Linked DNA regions of Schizosaccharomyces pombe. Changing the gene in region 3 together with the main gene of any one other region gives a genetic interaction. Each region holds a gene or a part of one and is shown on either strand. Other genes may lie near its edges.

Evidence for each region. Genes that interact genetically often act in the same process or in processes that back each other up.
Region 1: mutations in hip4 (region 3) and med13 together harm fitness more than expected from each alone (negative genetic interaction), as found in Schizosaccharomyces pombe (2 studies listed by BioGRID).
Region 2: mutations in hip4 (region 3) and hos2 together harm fitness more than expected from each alone (negative genetic interaction), as found in Schizosaccharomyces pombe (2 studies listed by BioGRID).

Annotation. Positions count from the first base shown.
Region 1 is NC_003424.3:3,094,575-3,100,545, reverse strand, and holds med13 (mediator complex subunit Med13), read left to right. Parts: upstream 1-1,878; coding exon 1,879-1,920; intron 1,921-1,955; coding exon 1,956-5,471; downstream 5,472-5,971. Other genes in the region: mtx2 (metaxin 1), read right to left, coding at 1-439; protein Noc12, read left to right, coding at 716-1,063, 1,127-1,285; protein mug74, read left to right, coding at 5,661-5,971. UniProt on the Schizosaccharomyces pombe protein: Component of the srb8-11 complex. The srb8-11 complex is a regulatory module of the Mediator complex which is itself involved in regulation of basal and activated RNA polymerase II-dependent transcription.
Region 2 is NC_003424.3:3,167,926-3,172,012, reverse strand, and holds hos2 (class 1 histone deacetylase Hos2), read right to left. Parts: upstream 2,343-4,087; 5' UTR 1,904-2,342; coding exon 599-1,903; 3' UTR 501-598; downstream 1-500. Other genes in the region: phenylalanine--tRNA (Phe) ligase alpha subunit Frs2, read left to right, coding at 1-429; png1 (chromatin modification-related protein), read left to right, coding at 2,971-3,822.
Region 3 is NC_003423.3:655,421-661,888, forward strand, and holds hip4 (histone H3.3-H4 chaperone, HIR complex subunit Hip4), read left to right. Parts: upstream 1-3,204; 5' UTR 3,205-3,664; coding exon 3,665-4,681; 3' UTR 4,682-4,811; downstream 4,812-6,468. Other genes in the region: hsp3103 (ThiJ domain protein, glyoxylase III), read right to left, coding at 903-1,688; rrp1402 (ribosome biogenesis protein Rrp14-C), read right to left, coding at 4,964-5,665. UniProt on the Schizosaccharomyces pombe protein: Component of the HIR complex, which functions as a histone chaperone that cooperates with cia1/asf1 to promote replication-independent chromatin assembly.

The DNA of each region.
Region 1 (5,971 bases), on a different chromosome or scaffold from region 3:
GAATTTCAGAAAAGTTCTCGTTGTCCAAATACATAGTTAAGAGAATTGCCGTTTCTACTTGATTTATCAGCAAACTCATCCAAGGAGAGATTTGCTGCAGTGTTGACTCATCCTTTAAAAAATATTGTAAAAGAGATGGATTGAGGACTAATTTTCGAGATTCAATTTGAATAAAAGGTACTTTCTCATCTGGAGAGGCGTGGTTAGACACATTTAAAAAAACAATTGAAGGGTCGTTTAATTTTGCCCAGGTTTGCCATTGAAGACTATTAACGTCCAGAGCCTCTGAGTTCAAGTCGGAATTCCACATAGTCAAATACATGACTGTTTTCGTTTTGTAATCTTCATTTTCGCCCGGGTAAGGATTAGAAAACGTTATTAAAGGGAAGCGGGAGAAAATGGAATGAAAATAACTCGAAAATTTTGTTAGACCGCCCATCCTTTTCACTTGTCACTAAGTTTGCTAATTCTAAAGAGTTTACACCAATACCATCAATAGTGTGCTTAGCGAAATTGTTAGATTAAGTGGTAAAGCGTGCAATTTCTTCAAATTTCTACCTATATTGTAGTAGGAGAAAATATTCTGTTGTTTCTACTATACCAAGCATTAATTCTGCATACACACTTTTCTATTTTGCGTTGGATTTTCACATCCTCTAATAATCGATAAACTCGACAAAAGATTGTATTTATTTTATTTGACATAAATCATAATATGGATTTGTCTTTATTTTCAGATATCAAGGATGTCGTCGAGAGGGACATGAAAAAAAATTCAAAAGTTGTGGAAAATTCTTCTGCTAGATCACTAAAAAACAAAACAGAGGAAAACAAAACTATTGATAAACATAAAAGTTCCGTTGGTCCTAAGGAACCCAAATCATCATTGGAAAAGCCTAAAGCGAATCGGAAAAGAAAGCAATCGTATGGTTTACTCCATGATATTAAAGAACTCGGAGGTACCGAAGAGGATCTGGAGCTGATTGAAGATGTAGAAAGCGATGAAGAGTTGGAATTCGAAGAACCCAATCGTAAACAACCCAAGAAGGATGGGACTGATGCTGTAAGTCAATATCGATGTTTCTTAATTACTTCTTTCAAAAGGTTCTAATATCCTCTGTTTTAGTTTGCAAATGAGTTGAATTTGTTCGCCAAAAAATTGGGCTTTTCTAAAAACAGCTTTGATGCTCGTGCTCTAGACACTGAGTCAGAAGATGAAACCGAAATCGAAAAAAGTTCGTCTGAAAATTCTGATTCAGTTGATGTCGATTCGGATGATGAGTAAAAAACGCTTGACAACTAGTTTATTTATTTAAAAATTTTCCTTCTTATTATAACTTTATAAGCAATGAGTGTATCTGTTAAAACTGATTGGGGAATCCCAATTTCTCTGTAATCTTCTCGTTCACTTTTCAGATGCCATCACTCATGAGTTGTTTAAACCATCATTCAAGAGGAGTCTTAAGGGAATGTAATGTTTAACTAACATTATACTGAGGGATAGGTTCATACATATTACCTGAAGGAGTTGCAATTGTGTTGGACCTTTATTGCTACACTTTCATTCATTTTAATTATTTGTAAAGTAAGGATAGGAATTTAAGGCGGAGCATTCTTTTTTTATTAAAATAGCGGTCATTACGGGATTAATATAAACATTATATGTCAGTATATATTTCCTTCATCAATTTCGAAGCATTTATGCTTATTTGCATACTAAACCGTTAGTTTAATGTTTGTTTATTTTATTATTAACAGTAAAAGTATCAGGTGTGTTTTAAGAAATATGTTAAAATGAGACAGTGGCCGCATGTGCTTTCTTTACGCGTGTACGCTAGCTACTTCCTCTTATATAATAATCTGCCATTATCCTCTGCCATGGTACATGATGGAGTTCATCTAATTAGTATTAAAACAATTGTAATTATTTCTATTATAACATGATAAATTAAAAGCTAACTGATCAGCCTTGCCCTAACACTATATATTATGCGAAGTATCAGGTTCAGCGAAAGGACAATGAGGATGCTGCTTCCCTCTTAGAAGACAAAGAAGCTTATCTACGAAATCAGGATTGCATTGTTCACGCGAAGAATGACTTACTTTTTGTATATGATTTTCAAGCCATTCCATCTATTCCTGAGGAATCATCTTCTTTTATGCTACTTAATTCAGGTGCATTTTCCAGATTAGCTCTTTTTCAAAAAGATGAATTAGCTCTTCTATTAGACCTGTATATAAACTTTCTTCAAGGATTGAAAAAAACGGTGTTGTATTGGCTGTGCAAAGAATACAACTTTGTTCCAATTTATGGTGTCCTTCTTCCTTTAAAATTACACCCTTCTTTCGATACCCAGCTCTGGAACATATATGGATATCCTGTTGTGGATTTACAGCTTTCTGTCTTATCGAAAGGCCATATAGAATTTTACTTAAAGCCTACAAGGCAGACGGTATATCGTTTGTCGGAAGTGGATAATTTGGTTAAAAAGTTAGACACTGTCATTCGTTTAGCCCCGACTGGTTGTTTGGCAACATTAACCTCTGTGCATGCCAACGCATCTGCTCAAACTGTTGATGCATTGAAACACCGCTATGGATTCTCTCTTACGACTACTTCAAAGTGGGTGGGTGTTACCTTAGAATCTTCGGCATTAGAATTTTCCTGGCCTTTAGAACTTTGCTTTTTGGAAACGTCGGCCCTTCGAATGAATGATGATTCATTATCTAGCAACCTTACAGATTTGAATAACCTAGTCCTCCCTTCAAACGTCGTAAACAATAAAAAGGAATTAACTGAGTTCGCAAATGAAGAAGCGGAAGCTTCAGATAAAAGAAAAGAAGGTTTTACAGAAAAGGAAGAGACTGCTGATGCCGTTGTAACCTTGGTTCCTTCTCATAGTTCTTCTCCCGTTAATTATTCGATAAATTCTGCAAAATCTACACCTGCTTCAATAAAAGTAAATGAAGAGATACTTGTTGCTGATCATAATGTTTCAGATGACATACTAATGGAGGAAATAGACGATGTTGGAATAACAGAGGCTGATTTTGATTACTTTGACTTACCTAACGTTGAAGAAAAAGTTGAGATGATTGAGCCTAATTTTGCAAATACTATGACAACCTTAGATAATGAGGAAATCAACACTTCCATCTCTCAATCAAACACCAGTCCAAATTTGAATACTCACGAAAATATTCCAAAGCAAATGGAAATTCAATCGGATGATAGAATGGTAACCGAAGATTTAAATCCATACAACGTCGAAGTTGATATTCCTGAAATTTCTTTAAATATTTCAGATTCTAAAATCCCTACATCTGCGTATATGCCTTCATACTATTCTGCGGTAATTTTTCCCTCGTCTATCTCCAGTATTTTTCAGAAGTATAACTATGGTGGTAAATATTGGTGCCCTTCTCCTTCTTTGTCAACTGAAGATTTATTTGAATCATTTTCGGTCGCTGAATCGGTAACTAGTACAGATGAAGACATCTGCTCTACAAACTTTATACAACAAGATTTTACAATGGAGTATAATCACGATTTTTTTTCATCTTCTAAAACACCCACTAATATCTCAGAACAAAGTAACCCCGATTCAAATTATGATACGCTATCGTTAGCACATCAGGTTCTTATGAATGAATCCAAGTCAGCAAATTTTGATTTCAGTTTTTTAAAATCGTTAGATTTACAACCCACTATTACCTTGGGAAAAAATGACTTGTTAAACGCTATTTTGTCTCAAAACTTATGGTTTAGATCGTTACCTTTTTGGAAAAGCATGACTACCAGTTTCATGATGTCTCAAGATGTTTTAAACTTTTCTTCGTACATGCGGAAGCCTATTAGGGATTATTTAGAGAAAATATTGTTAGGTGAAAGTTCGGCTGTTTTCTTGAGCAAAAGCCCAGAAAATTATCTGTCCTCGATTAATAACGGGCATCACGCATTAAATGACAATCCTCCATCCCAAGTTAACTTTTCTGAAACGTTGGTAAACTTCTCCCAACCTCCTCGTGTTTTGCTCAAATACAACGAAAAAAAGTTGTCTTTAGATTCTTCGGCACCAGAGAATTGGATATCTTTATGTCTTCAACCGTATGGTGAGAGCAAAGATTTTGAAGTTTTTTTGCTCTCTTCCAAATCTCCCGACGTAAGCAGCAAGGCTATCAGCTTTTTTTATGATGTTCAGCTGGCTTATGAAAACTGCAAACTTGGAAAACTGAATTTATCTGAAACTTCTATTAACGAAAGAGTGATGGGATTCAGTACAAATATTAATGAAACAGATAATTATGATGATAATGAAACAACTCAAAGCGATACAGCAACCTCTTATGAACAACTAGCGAGTGTTTGTGTTAATGAATTAAGCGGAAAAAACGTACTTTTTTTTTATTTTTTAGAAGATGATTCCGAAAAACTTTTAAAGGCTTGTCAACATTTTATATGCGTAAAGGACTCAATCAAGAGACTTGGGGATAATAAATTTGAAGATAAATCATTACGAATATGCACGATTCCGAATTCTATTTTTGATTCACCCAACTCGCATACTACAAATTCGAACTCTTTTTTTACAAAAGTTTCACTCGACATTTATAATAATGATCCTTTATTGATGGATGGTTCATTAAAGAGACGTGAACCGGCTTTTCTCCTGAAAAAGCCCTTGTTATCAACTCTTAACTATCAGCTTAAAGATATTAATCCCAGATCTTCAGCTTTGGGAGAGTATGCGCTACATGTAACGTATACAACTGTCGAAGAGCACTTGCTTATTTGCAATTGGAATGATTCCTATGGAGAATTTGAAACTGAGAGACGCTATTTTCTCCAAGACCTTGAAATTGAAGATGCTTTACAGCAAATTTTAGAAGTCACATTTACGTTCCTTAACTCAATGCACATGGATTGGATAGTAATCGTCATGAAGATTGGTGAGATGTCTGACGCAGAGTATCTGTTTTGGGATCAAGCAATAATACCTGAAAACTTACAAGGCAATGTTTCTCTTACAGTTGGTTACTGCTCAGCAGAGCACGGACCTGGCTCAACTTCGAAAGTGTTTTCAAGGATTCCATATTCGGCTTCAAGCACAGTTATTCGTAATAATAGTAGTCATGAGCTCTCTTTGGTTGCGTTTATCCGAGAAATGGCAATGCCTGTGCCGAACGATGAATTTAAGAAAATTTCTACAATCTTAGCTAGAGGATACTTAGCATTAGACGAGGACGAATCTTATTTACCACTGTTAAGCATTCATCTTTTGATATCTCGAAATCATGATCCTTATTTAATGTTAAATCTTATTTTAAAACATTATTTAAGTATGATTTATTTACAGTTTCGAACGTATGTTTCTTTTTCTTCACTCCCATTACACATTTCTACCGTTTTATACCAGAAGCAACTATTGCAGTTTATGGCATCAGACATTACACATCCTGTGACCTCTTAGTTTTTGGGGTATTATTAATTTATACAGTATAAGTTTATAATGCGCTTGTGCCAAAATTGGTTTACTCTTGTTATCGTTTTTGTTTACTAGATTGGGAAGGTTGACATAGTGAAAACACAGTGTTTGTTTACTGTCGACTATTTCATATTCCGCCATTTTTAACCATGAAATTAGCCAACGCAAAACATAATGAAGAAACATAAGTCCTCAATTAAGTGTTTTAAGATTGACCAAATATCTCAACAACCTGAAACCGATTTGGTTTTTACTAAAAGGTCGGAATGCAAAGTAAAAGATGAGCTATTTTCAGATAAGGAAAACTCAATCTTATGTAAACAGTTGAAGGAATTAGATTTAGTTGTTTCTTCAAACAAAGAGTTTCTAAACGAAAAGACATCGGATCAAATTTCGTTTTTGAAACCAAGAGAAACAGTAGTTGAAAAAAAATTAGCAAATGGGAGTATTTGGCCTAATGAAACTTCCCATTTAGATAAATCTAG
Region 2 (4,087 bases), on a different chromosome or scaffold from region 3:
CGCAATGAAACCGTTGACGCAACTCATCTTGCCGAATTTCATCAAGTCGAAGGCGTAATCTGCGATAGAAATATTACCCTCGGTGATTTGATCGGTTTCCTTGAGGTGTTCTTTGGAAAAATGAACGTTAAAAATTTGCGCTTCAAACCTGCTTATAATCCTTATACTGAACCTTCATTGGAAGTCTTTTCCTACCACGAAAAGCTTGGTAAGTGGGTTGAAGTCGGAAACAGCGGCATGTTCCGTCCGGAGATGTTAGAGCCTATGGGATTACCTAAAGATGTTCGTTGTTTAGGTTTTGGTCTTTCTTTAGAGCGCCCCACTATGATCAAATATGGTGTGGCCGACATTAGACAATTGATTGGTCCTAAGGTTAACTTGGACCTAATTGAGGCTAGCCCTGCAGTTCGTTTAGACAAAGAGGAATAAATTTAGTGTTTTTTTTTGCATAATCGTTTATAAAAATAATACATAATCACTATGGTAAACGTATTTTCGTATAGGGTCAATTATTAATATTTACAATGTCTATAAACATTAACTAAAATTATTTGATGTTTGTACGGATATCAAATAAAAAGTCGAAAATTCATTAATATCAGCCTCGAACGCGAACATCCACAGCTTTGTCTAAGTATTCATCATTCAACCGTTCGTCTTCTTCTTCCAAATGCCCAGTTAAGTCTGGTGGAATTTGCTGCATCTGAACGCTTGGCGCTCCTCCTAAGTAACGTAATTGCTCCAAGGCCCGTATTCGAAGATCTTCAAGAGCTTTCGGTGTATTTTTATTTTCTATCTTCGTGGTTAATCGCGGATGGAGGGTGTAATCTGGTGCGAAAAATTCGTAATACAAAGTTTCACGAGGTAATTCTGAAGGTATTTGTTCGTTTACACATATGGAAGTTTCATAACACCACGCTCTAGCAACATTTCTAAGAGTATAACCACCACCTCCAACTACAAGCATGGGTATATTGAATGAACGGGTAAATCTAACACATTCCCCATGTGCATGGATGCTCAGATTGAACACGCCGAGCCGATCATAACCAAGCGAATCAGCACCACACTGAAGGACAATTGCAGAAGGTTGAAAAGTATTGATAGTTGGTTCAATTATGGATTTGAAAAGACTAGTGTACTGTTCATCACCAATACCATCTTCCAAAGGAACGTTTAAAGCAAAATATTTCCCTCCTTTCACGCCATTTTCATCAAAATTACCAGTTGCAGGAAAAAAATCACCATTATACTTGTGAAAAGAAACCGTCAACACGCGGTCAGATTCATAGAATGCTTGCTGCACACCATCTCCATGATGAATATCGATATCGATATACAAAACGCGAGGAAAAAACCGTAGCATGTTCAAAATTGCTAGAACAATATCATTAACATAGCAGAATCCACTAGCCTCACCACGCTTTGCATGATGGAGACCACCGCTCCAATTGATAGCAATGTCTGTTTGACCTTGCACTAACTTCCGAGAAGCATCCAAACTAGCGCCTGCCGACCTTTGAGAAAATTCATAAGTGCCGTCAAAGACCGGACAGTCATCACCAATATTGAATTGTTGGAACTTATCAGCAAATTGTTCAGCATTATCAGGAGTAACGCGCTTAAGGAAATCCAAATAATCCTCCCTATGAAATTCTGACATTTCACCAAAAGTTGCCATCCGGGGGCTGAATACACTCATTTTGTTATGCAACCCATAACCCATCACTAAATGATTTGTAATGGTAATTCGATGGGGCTTCATTGGATGTTTGTCACCATAGTGGTAGTTTCCCACCTGTTCATCTAAGTGATATGTGACACGCTTTTTTTGAGGTCGAAAGCTAAAAAAAGACCCCTTTTCAACTTGTTCATAAGGTGTGGATGTCTCAGGAGTATCCATGATATACAGACTATTATACTAAAAAAAACCGCGAGACAAATTAAATGAAAATATCTTTTCTAAAGAAAGAACAAGAAAAGAATAAATAAAATTAAGAAACAAATTAATAACTGTTTCAGAAGAAACAAGAGAAATGAAAGTTATTGACCAATGCCAAATTAATATAAATCGAAAAACAACCCAGATTTTTTTATAGAAAAGAATTCAATCCAAATAATAAACAGCAACACGAACTGTAAATACTTTATTTTTACGTCGAGCGCAGAATACGTAGCAAAAGGTCGCTAAACCCGATACCTTATTAGATAAAATGTACAACTTCAACAAAGCGTTAATTCAAACTCTTTGAAGCCCATAAACACAAGAACAAATAGGATTTACAATTTTTTGAAGAATTGCTAGTGCTGGTTCATTCTTATAACTTAAAAATGTATATCTCAGTGAACACAGAAGGAAGCTACCAACTTAGGTGTAGTTTAGTATGTTATGCTTCCATATATGAACTAACACATTAATAACGTATCGTTATTACTTAAACAGATGGTAACCTTTAGCATGTGAATTCATAGACAATTTGGCAACTTAGATATCATACATACGTTGAAAAGATTTATCTTCAAAGTGATTTGGTTTGCGTGAATTCTTATGTTTTTATTTCGCCCTCTTTGCCTTCCAGTACTGTGTTTACATTATATGGAGTGGCGGAACTCAACACCAAATGTGGGCTACTATAAACAACCGGAAAAATTTTCAGCAGCTTAAGAGAGTGTAAAAATAATCTTTAAACGACACAAAAACGAGCCATAGGTTCATATATATTATTTCAATTAGTGTCTTTGTCCTTCTCGTTTGTACATTTATTGTCACATTCCTCTACTTTAAAAGATAAAGTCATAGTATCTTTTATTCATTAGTTATTGAAGTATCGAAAATATTAGTGGAATATCAACTTTCCCTATCTCTTTAAAAGACTCAAATCTCCCTTTCTTTTGGAATTTGAAATCATAATAATAATTTTTGCATAAAGCGGAAATTAGAACGTATCTATAATTTTCAATTTGAGAATAATGGCAGATGATACAGCTTACATACTAAGTGAGTATTTGCAAACGTTGGATAATGTTCCCAACGAAACAAAACACATCTTTGACGAAATTAGTGTGAAGGAAGTTGCTGTACATGACATCTGGAAGAGAATTCAAGCAGCTGATTCTCAGATTCAGTCATACATTAAATCACATGGTTCCTTGACCCCACATCCAAAAGAAGATGCTTTGTATTCGACGATTCGCGAGGAGTATCAAAAGGCAATTAATATACAGAACGAGAAAGTCCAGTTGGCGGATCGTGCCAGATTGGGACTTACACGGCACATAAAGCGATTGGATGATAGACTTGCAAAGGCCGGTCATGGATTTACAGCTGCGGAATTGTTAAATGCTCCTGACTACTATGCTTCTTCACCGTATGGTGGATACAGTCCAAGTGGTGCCTCAAGTGCTCGTCAAACACCGGCCCCTTCTCGGTCGGGAGCCTCAACAGCTGGTCGCCGTCGTACTTCAGCAACTACCAGGGGTGCAATTCAAAATGGAGTCTATCACTCTCCTTATACGGCTTCGTTGGCAGATTCTGGTTCAACTCGCGGTCAGAAGGTTTCGAATGCCACTGCAACCACCCAGTTAGAAACTAAGGCAGATTCCACAACGCCGAATGAAATGGTCTCAGAAGAAGATATGGAAGAGGATAATGAAAAGTATTGTTTTTGCCAGCAAGGATCATATGGGCAAATGGTCGCTTGTGACAATGCTAATTGTGAGCGTGAATGGTTCCATATGGAGTGTGTTGGTCTTAAAGCTCCTCCTGAAGGTACATGGTATTGCGAAGCTTGTAGGGATCAGAAGCTTGTTGATGCTAAGTAATTTTTCCCCAATCTAAAGTCTGTTGGTCTTCCCATTATTGAATGCAAGCATTGTTGTTTTTTTTTGGGCTTTAATATCCGCTAATTTTTCACCTGTTCCGAACTTACTATATTTGATTATACGTTGTTCAAGCTGTGTATATGTGATTTGCAAAATGGTTAATTTATTAATCATATCTTCACGATTACGAATCCTTTTTATCTTATTCTTGTCCTTGTTTGTTTTTCACTCACATAATAAGTACCAGATTACTTGTACATTAAGA
Region 3 (6,468 bases):
TAAGAGCTTAAATTATTTAACGAATTTAAAAGCCCACCTCAGCGTAAATTTGCCAACAGTGCTTCAAAGAACTGTGGTAAATTGCGTTATCTATCGTTATAGCCAGACACTCCATGGGAATGTACCTAATAATGCAGTAAATGAACATTTAAACAACATTTTTGCTTCTATTTATAAAAATGGTTTTGATTAAAATGCAAACAAATTTGCTTTCCGTGGTCTTACGTAGATTATAATACTAAACAAAATCTCCGTGATACATAAATATATACATTTCGAGGTTATCTAAATATACTGTTTATACTTATAATTAATGCAATGCAAATGATACTGCAATCTAACGTGTCACTAAAAAAAACCGGCAATGACAGTAGCCGAGTTTAGGCTTTGCAAACGCTCGTTTACGTTAACTAAGTTTAGGAAATATTAAACGATTCCCCAATTTTTAAAGAAATGTAAATTTCTTTTTCAGTTGAATAAGTAGCTGTATCTATTCAGAGGCGATGTTCTTATAAGTATAGATGGAAAAGTCTTCCATAAAGAAGGTCATGGCAGAAAAACTTGAAAGTGTTCGAAGGAGCGATTTGTGGTACTGTTGCTTGTTGCTACGGTGTTTTGTATTTACAGATGAATGAAAGTATATATCAATATAGATTCATAAATGTGAAATCGTTTTTTTGAAAAATTCTGACAAATTTTTTTTTATAGTATATATTCAATCTTATTCATTTCTAGTGTATGTAATCCACTTTAAATATCATCAATGATTTTGAGTGTTATTATTCATCGGCGTCAAATTATGTTCGCATCATTAATTTTTCCTGTATACATAAATTTCATCATACGTTCAAATTAATCGTTTAAAAAGACTCATTATCCAATAGCTTTATTATCGTTTCGCTTTACAAAACACGCAAAGCCGTTTTCGCCGTAGATGTAGCACTTGCAGGATTGGAACCAGTAACTAATCTTCCATCTGCTATTACAAAATCACCGAATGGGTTTGGTGACTTGATAAAGTTGGCTCCTGCATCATTCAACATATCGTCCAAAACCTCCAAGTTGTATTTTTTCAGCGCTTCCATAAGTTTGGATTTATCCTCGGCCACCCTATCGAAGGCGGTAACATCTTTACCACAGACAATTGAAACAGAGCCGTCGGACGTTTGACGCTTCATGAATGGAAGTAATGTAGGACCATGGCACACGGCAGCTACTACTCCCCCATTTTCATAAATGGAAGTACCAAGTTTTTGCAAATTTGTAGCTTTTGGAAAATCAAATAGAGTGGCATGTCCTCCTGCTACGAAGAAAATGTCATACTTGTCAGGATTCACTTCGTCGGCGGTTTTGGAATTTTGCACAATCCTCCAAAACATATCATCCTTATTTTCCAAAACATATTTTTCAGCTTTGGATAGCTCAGGGCCACTTGCGATGTGATCATCATAGCTCAAAAACTCTTCACCCTTAGATCCCTTGTCAATTGCCGGACCTGCTACTGAATGATCATCGAATTGGATTTTCCCTGATTCAGTAACAATGTCAACATTGAAACAAGCATCTCTAAATACCAAATAAGGATGTAACAATTCTAAAAAAAATGCTCCAGTATTCTCACCATCTTTATAAAATGGTCCATAATAATCAGAGCAAGCAATTAAGACATTTCTAGTTTTAGCAGGCATTTTTGAGTTAAAAATAGTTTGTATAGTGCTTTACAATGTATAACTCCTTGAAGACAGAAAGAGTTCGATGAAATTGTTTGGATTTTCGGTGAAGACCATCCTTTTATGTCTTTTTTTTGGACTCTAAATATTAGTATTTCTTCGATAAATTTTCGTTTATCGGTTTTTTACGTAAACATTAAGTAAAGTGCAACGTCCACTGATTAATTATTTCCATGTCAGTTACAGAAATTTTCTCCTTAGACGGCATAGCTCTTTTCATTGCCTATTGGTATTCTAGATGCAGCAAGTTCATATAGCTAACGACTTATTTTTTGCTAATTCACCCCTAAACTTGTAATGTGGCTACGAAATGCATTTTGCATCTGGTTTGTTCGAAATTCCGTATGACAGCAGGAGCAATGCGTAGCCAAGTATTAGTGATGAAAAAGGCCAGGGTCTCGTACACTGAGCAAATAAATTCCTCGTACAATAGCAGGTTTGCGTATTCACATGTTTACATTCTAAAAGTCGAATAATAGACGAACAAAATATGTCTGAAGCACTGTTATAATCACACAACGAAAGAAAAAGAGATGTCGGGTAATTTCTGGTTCACCGGCTGAATCAATAATTCGTTAACTTTCTTTAACAAATGTGTATTCGACATGAATTTTTCTAAAAATCAAAAAAATGAACTAACTACCACTTCCTGCTAAATTTTTAATAAAAGGATGGTGAGTTGTAACGAAAACCACAATATACTATAAACCACTGCTGTATATGTTTTGTTGGCACTAAAGCAAACGATGGTTTCTTTTTGCCTTGGTAGATCAGGAGTTGTAATCTAGAAAATTACGAATAAAAATATTCGTTGAAAAAAAATTCCTAGGATGTTATGACTTTATTCTTCGATAGAGTCGCAAATGTCTATACTACAATGAATGCGACCTGCAGTAGAAAGGGAATAACGAATTGGGGAGCAGCTAGCTATTTAGGAGAAATGATTATGAGAAGTAAGCTTATATTGAGTACAATTTGTTTATTAAGAGCTTAAATGATTAAAATGACAATTTCCCATTCATACAGTTCTGTAGTCATGATACTGTGCACACATGAACAGTTTTCTTTACTTAGTAGTGGAGTATTGATAAAGCAATGCCAACTGAATACCCAATTTCCATGAATAAAGTTTTCCTTAAAAACAAAAAATTCAGATCAATTAATCATTTTCATTCCTTTCTTTCCATTGAAAATCTCCAAACTCATATATACGTATAGTAATTAGAAATGATAATTTATCTCTTCATATAATTAATAAATTTACCCTATATATAATGTAACTTTTTTCTGTGTACCACAAGCTTCTGTAGCTCAGTCGGTGGTAGCATCCCTCTCATATAATGACAGGGGAAGGTCGTGAGTTCGAGCCTCACCAGGAGCATTCTTTTTTGCCCTTTACTTTTAAGAAAGTGAGGATTGCTGCGCTAATGTTGTTCAGTATAAGTTGCATTATAACGTGCTATTTACTTGATCTATCCCCATACTGTGGGAATTGTTCGTACTCGTTTCAAAGTTATTACCAAATAAAGTATTACTTTACCATCCTCCTAATCAAATTATTGTTTATCATTTAACCACTTTGCATTTTTTGTTGCTTCTAGTTCAATCACTTGTTGTTGCACTCTCTTATAGAAATTTGACGCAGCGTCGCAGAACTTATCATTTATTCAGTTACAAAAAAGTGCAAGCGTCCAATTTCTCATTTTTTGGTCTGCAGTTTGTTTCTTTAATGCTATCAACTCTTAGCCTTGTTCAATTGTTAAGAGTGCTCTTGAATTGAAAATTTCTATTAACTTATCCATTGGATTCAGTGAAACGACGGCACTAAGTCTTGGACTCAATTGTAATTAAAACTACCATTTTCGCTTGTTAGGATTACTTTTCCTTGCAAATTTTTTCTTCTACGTTTTCACTATACTTCGCTTTTGTTCGTCATGTCGCTTTTGTCTGGCGACCAACGAATTATTTGCTTGGAAATTCCTTTGCAAGGCAAAGAAAACGTACATATTAATTTTGCAAAAGAAGTGGAAAAACTTTATGGACCCTCTGTTCAGGAGAATTCAAAAAAAAATGATCTTTCAGACTCAGCGGATTCTGAGGGCGAAAGTACACATGTTGATGAGCAACAAGCAGCTAATGGGGCGGCCGATGGTACACAGACCATAAAGAAAAAGAAAAGGAAAAGGAGGTACGCTGACGAATACTACGATAGAACAGATCCCTTTATTGATGATGCTGAGCTCTACATTGAAGAGAAGGCTGCCGCTACCAAAGATGGATTTTTTGTATTTAGCGGTCCACTCGTGGCCGAAGGAGATACTGTGAAAATCGAAAGATCAAAGAAGACTAAGAAAAAGAAGAAAACATCTTTATCCAATGCTACACACCCTGCGCCAGCTGTCTCTGCGGTGGTGGCTTCAGCGGATGCTAGCTTTGACGATAGTAGGGATATTGAATCTGAGGACGAGCAGCCATTAAGGACTTTGTCCATTGAAATGGCTGCTAAGAATGCTTTAAAAGAGGCAAAACGGGAAAATGCAAAGGTTCCCAAGGATGTCTCTAAGAAGGAAGCAAAAACAACGAAAAGCAAAGAGAAAGCCACAAAAAAGACATCCTCTTCAGTGCCCAAACAAAGTACGGGAGAAAATACCAAAAAGGCTGTTAAACTTGAGACACCTCTTACATCTACACCCCCTATACCACCTCTCTCTGAACCAAAGCATTCTCCCGCTACTGTTAATGAGCACATTTCTCCTCCAAGTGCTTTAACTAATCCTTCTACGGAGGAACTCAAACCTTCGACCTCCCTACCTATTGATCAGGGCAATGCTTCTGTCGTTTCGAAACCTACTCAACAAGTAAGCATCGTTCTTTCTCAGAATGCATCCTTACCCGTTGATGAACATCAAGCTGAACCAGAGAAATCAATTCCAACTAGTAGCATCCCATAATTATACATATGTAGTGACCTGAAGATCTGTCAATCGATTTCTGTATATTATTTTTATATCATATTTTTTTCGTTAATAAAAAGCAATTATCATCACACCGCATTGATTATCTATTTCTTTTTTAAGGCAGAATTTTGTTTCAGTGTTACTGTTTGTATGAGTAAATTTATGTATTCATTCATAATCAAATGACAAAAAAAGCTATTTAAACCCAAACCTCCTTGTTAACCATTAAATCCCAACAGACCAGTATAATTTTTGAACAAATTTAAAGTTAAGCGTCTATTTTTTCTTGGATGGCTTCTTCTTTTTTGGTGCCTTCCCCTTCTTAGACTTTTTACTTTCTCTACGTTTTTTCAAATTTTCTTCTCTACGTTGCTGCCGCATTAACATTGCTTTTTTTTCGTTGTCCTTCCTTTCCTTCCAAGCGTCTGAAGACTTTTTCTTTTCCTTTTCTTTGCGACGAATGCTCTTTTTAAGCAATTGCTCGTTATCTTTGAGTTTTTTCCCTTCTGCCTGAAGCAAAACTCTATGCCATTTATCACTTTCTTCAATTTTTCTCCTTTTCTCTTCGTCCATGCTTTCAATACGGCGTTTCTTGGCTTCCAAATGCTTTAGAGCGCCAAAGACATCAGTAGGACCTCGCTTTTTTCCGGCAACTTTTAGTTTACCATTCGAGAATTTGTCATCTCCGACTATTAAAGTACCATAAGTAATAGTGCTCTTGTGGTTGTCATTTTCCTCGTCAGCAATGTTATCAGAAGAGTTCCCAGTGTCATAAGCTGCCACTTTTGATTCCTGTTTAGCCTTTGACTCCTTTTTAGCTAACTTCTTCGCTTCAGCACGAGCTTTTGCCTTTTCTTTTCTGCGCTGTAAAAGTAGAGCACGGTCTACTTTTTCAGTAGCTTTTCTTTGAGAGCGAAATGTCTGAATCTTTTCAGCAAGCTTTGCTCGTAAGTCATTTTTTCCTTCAGTTGTTTCCATTACAGACCGATGATAAAGGAGGAATCACAAATAATGGAGAAAGAGGATGAAAATACACAATCAGAATTGGGTTAATAAACAAAATCCGATACAACCCGATAAAAATAGAAAAGGGATGTTAAAATTTCTTAAACGAAAAAAACTTTTGAATTGATGATTGATAATAAATAAAATGAAGCCTAATTACCCACGAACAAAAAAAGAGAAACCCGATAATATGGAGTTTGCGAATCCAAAAACAATTGCTTTGAAAGAAAACTTAATAAAAGGGAAAAAAAGCTAAAGTAATACAAAGATTCAATGGCTATTCAAGATTGAAAGAACGCCTTTTTGTAATAAAGACATGTACTTGTAGTGTGGAAAAGACTGAAAGAAAACCTCTATTTCGAAATTTAACGTAATACGTTATTGTATTTACCAAAAGTTTACGCGCCGTTATTATTGTTTAATGAAAAGGTGCATACCGTTAAGCGAGATAATGGGTAGGGTAATTTGTATTTAGTCCGCGCAGAAAGCCACAATATTGGAAAGAGTAAATAGTCTATTTCCGCGTTTATGAGTTTCTCTATTTTGTAAAAAAAAACATTTATGAAAATAATTTTCTATGTTTTTCGTTATGACTTTGATTCCACAGTCATACTGGAAAGGCTAAAGACGATGTAAACAAATACCTGAACCAAATGTATTTGGAAGGGATGCGATGATACGCAAGCATTGAGTGTTTTAAGAATATCCCTTATCCAAGAGGAACAAGATTGTTTTCAGTTGTTGGATTTTATCAAGAAGCAGCCTCGCATAATATA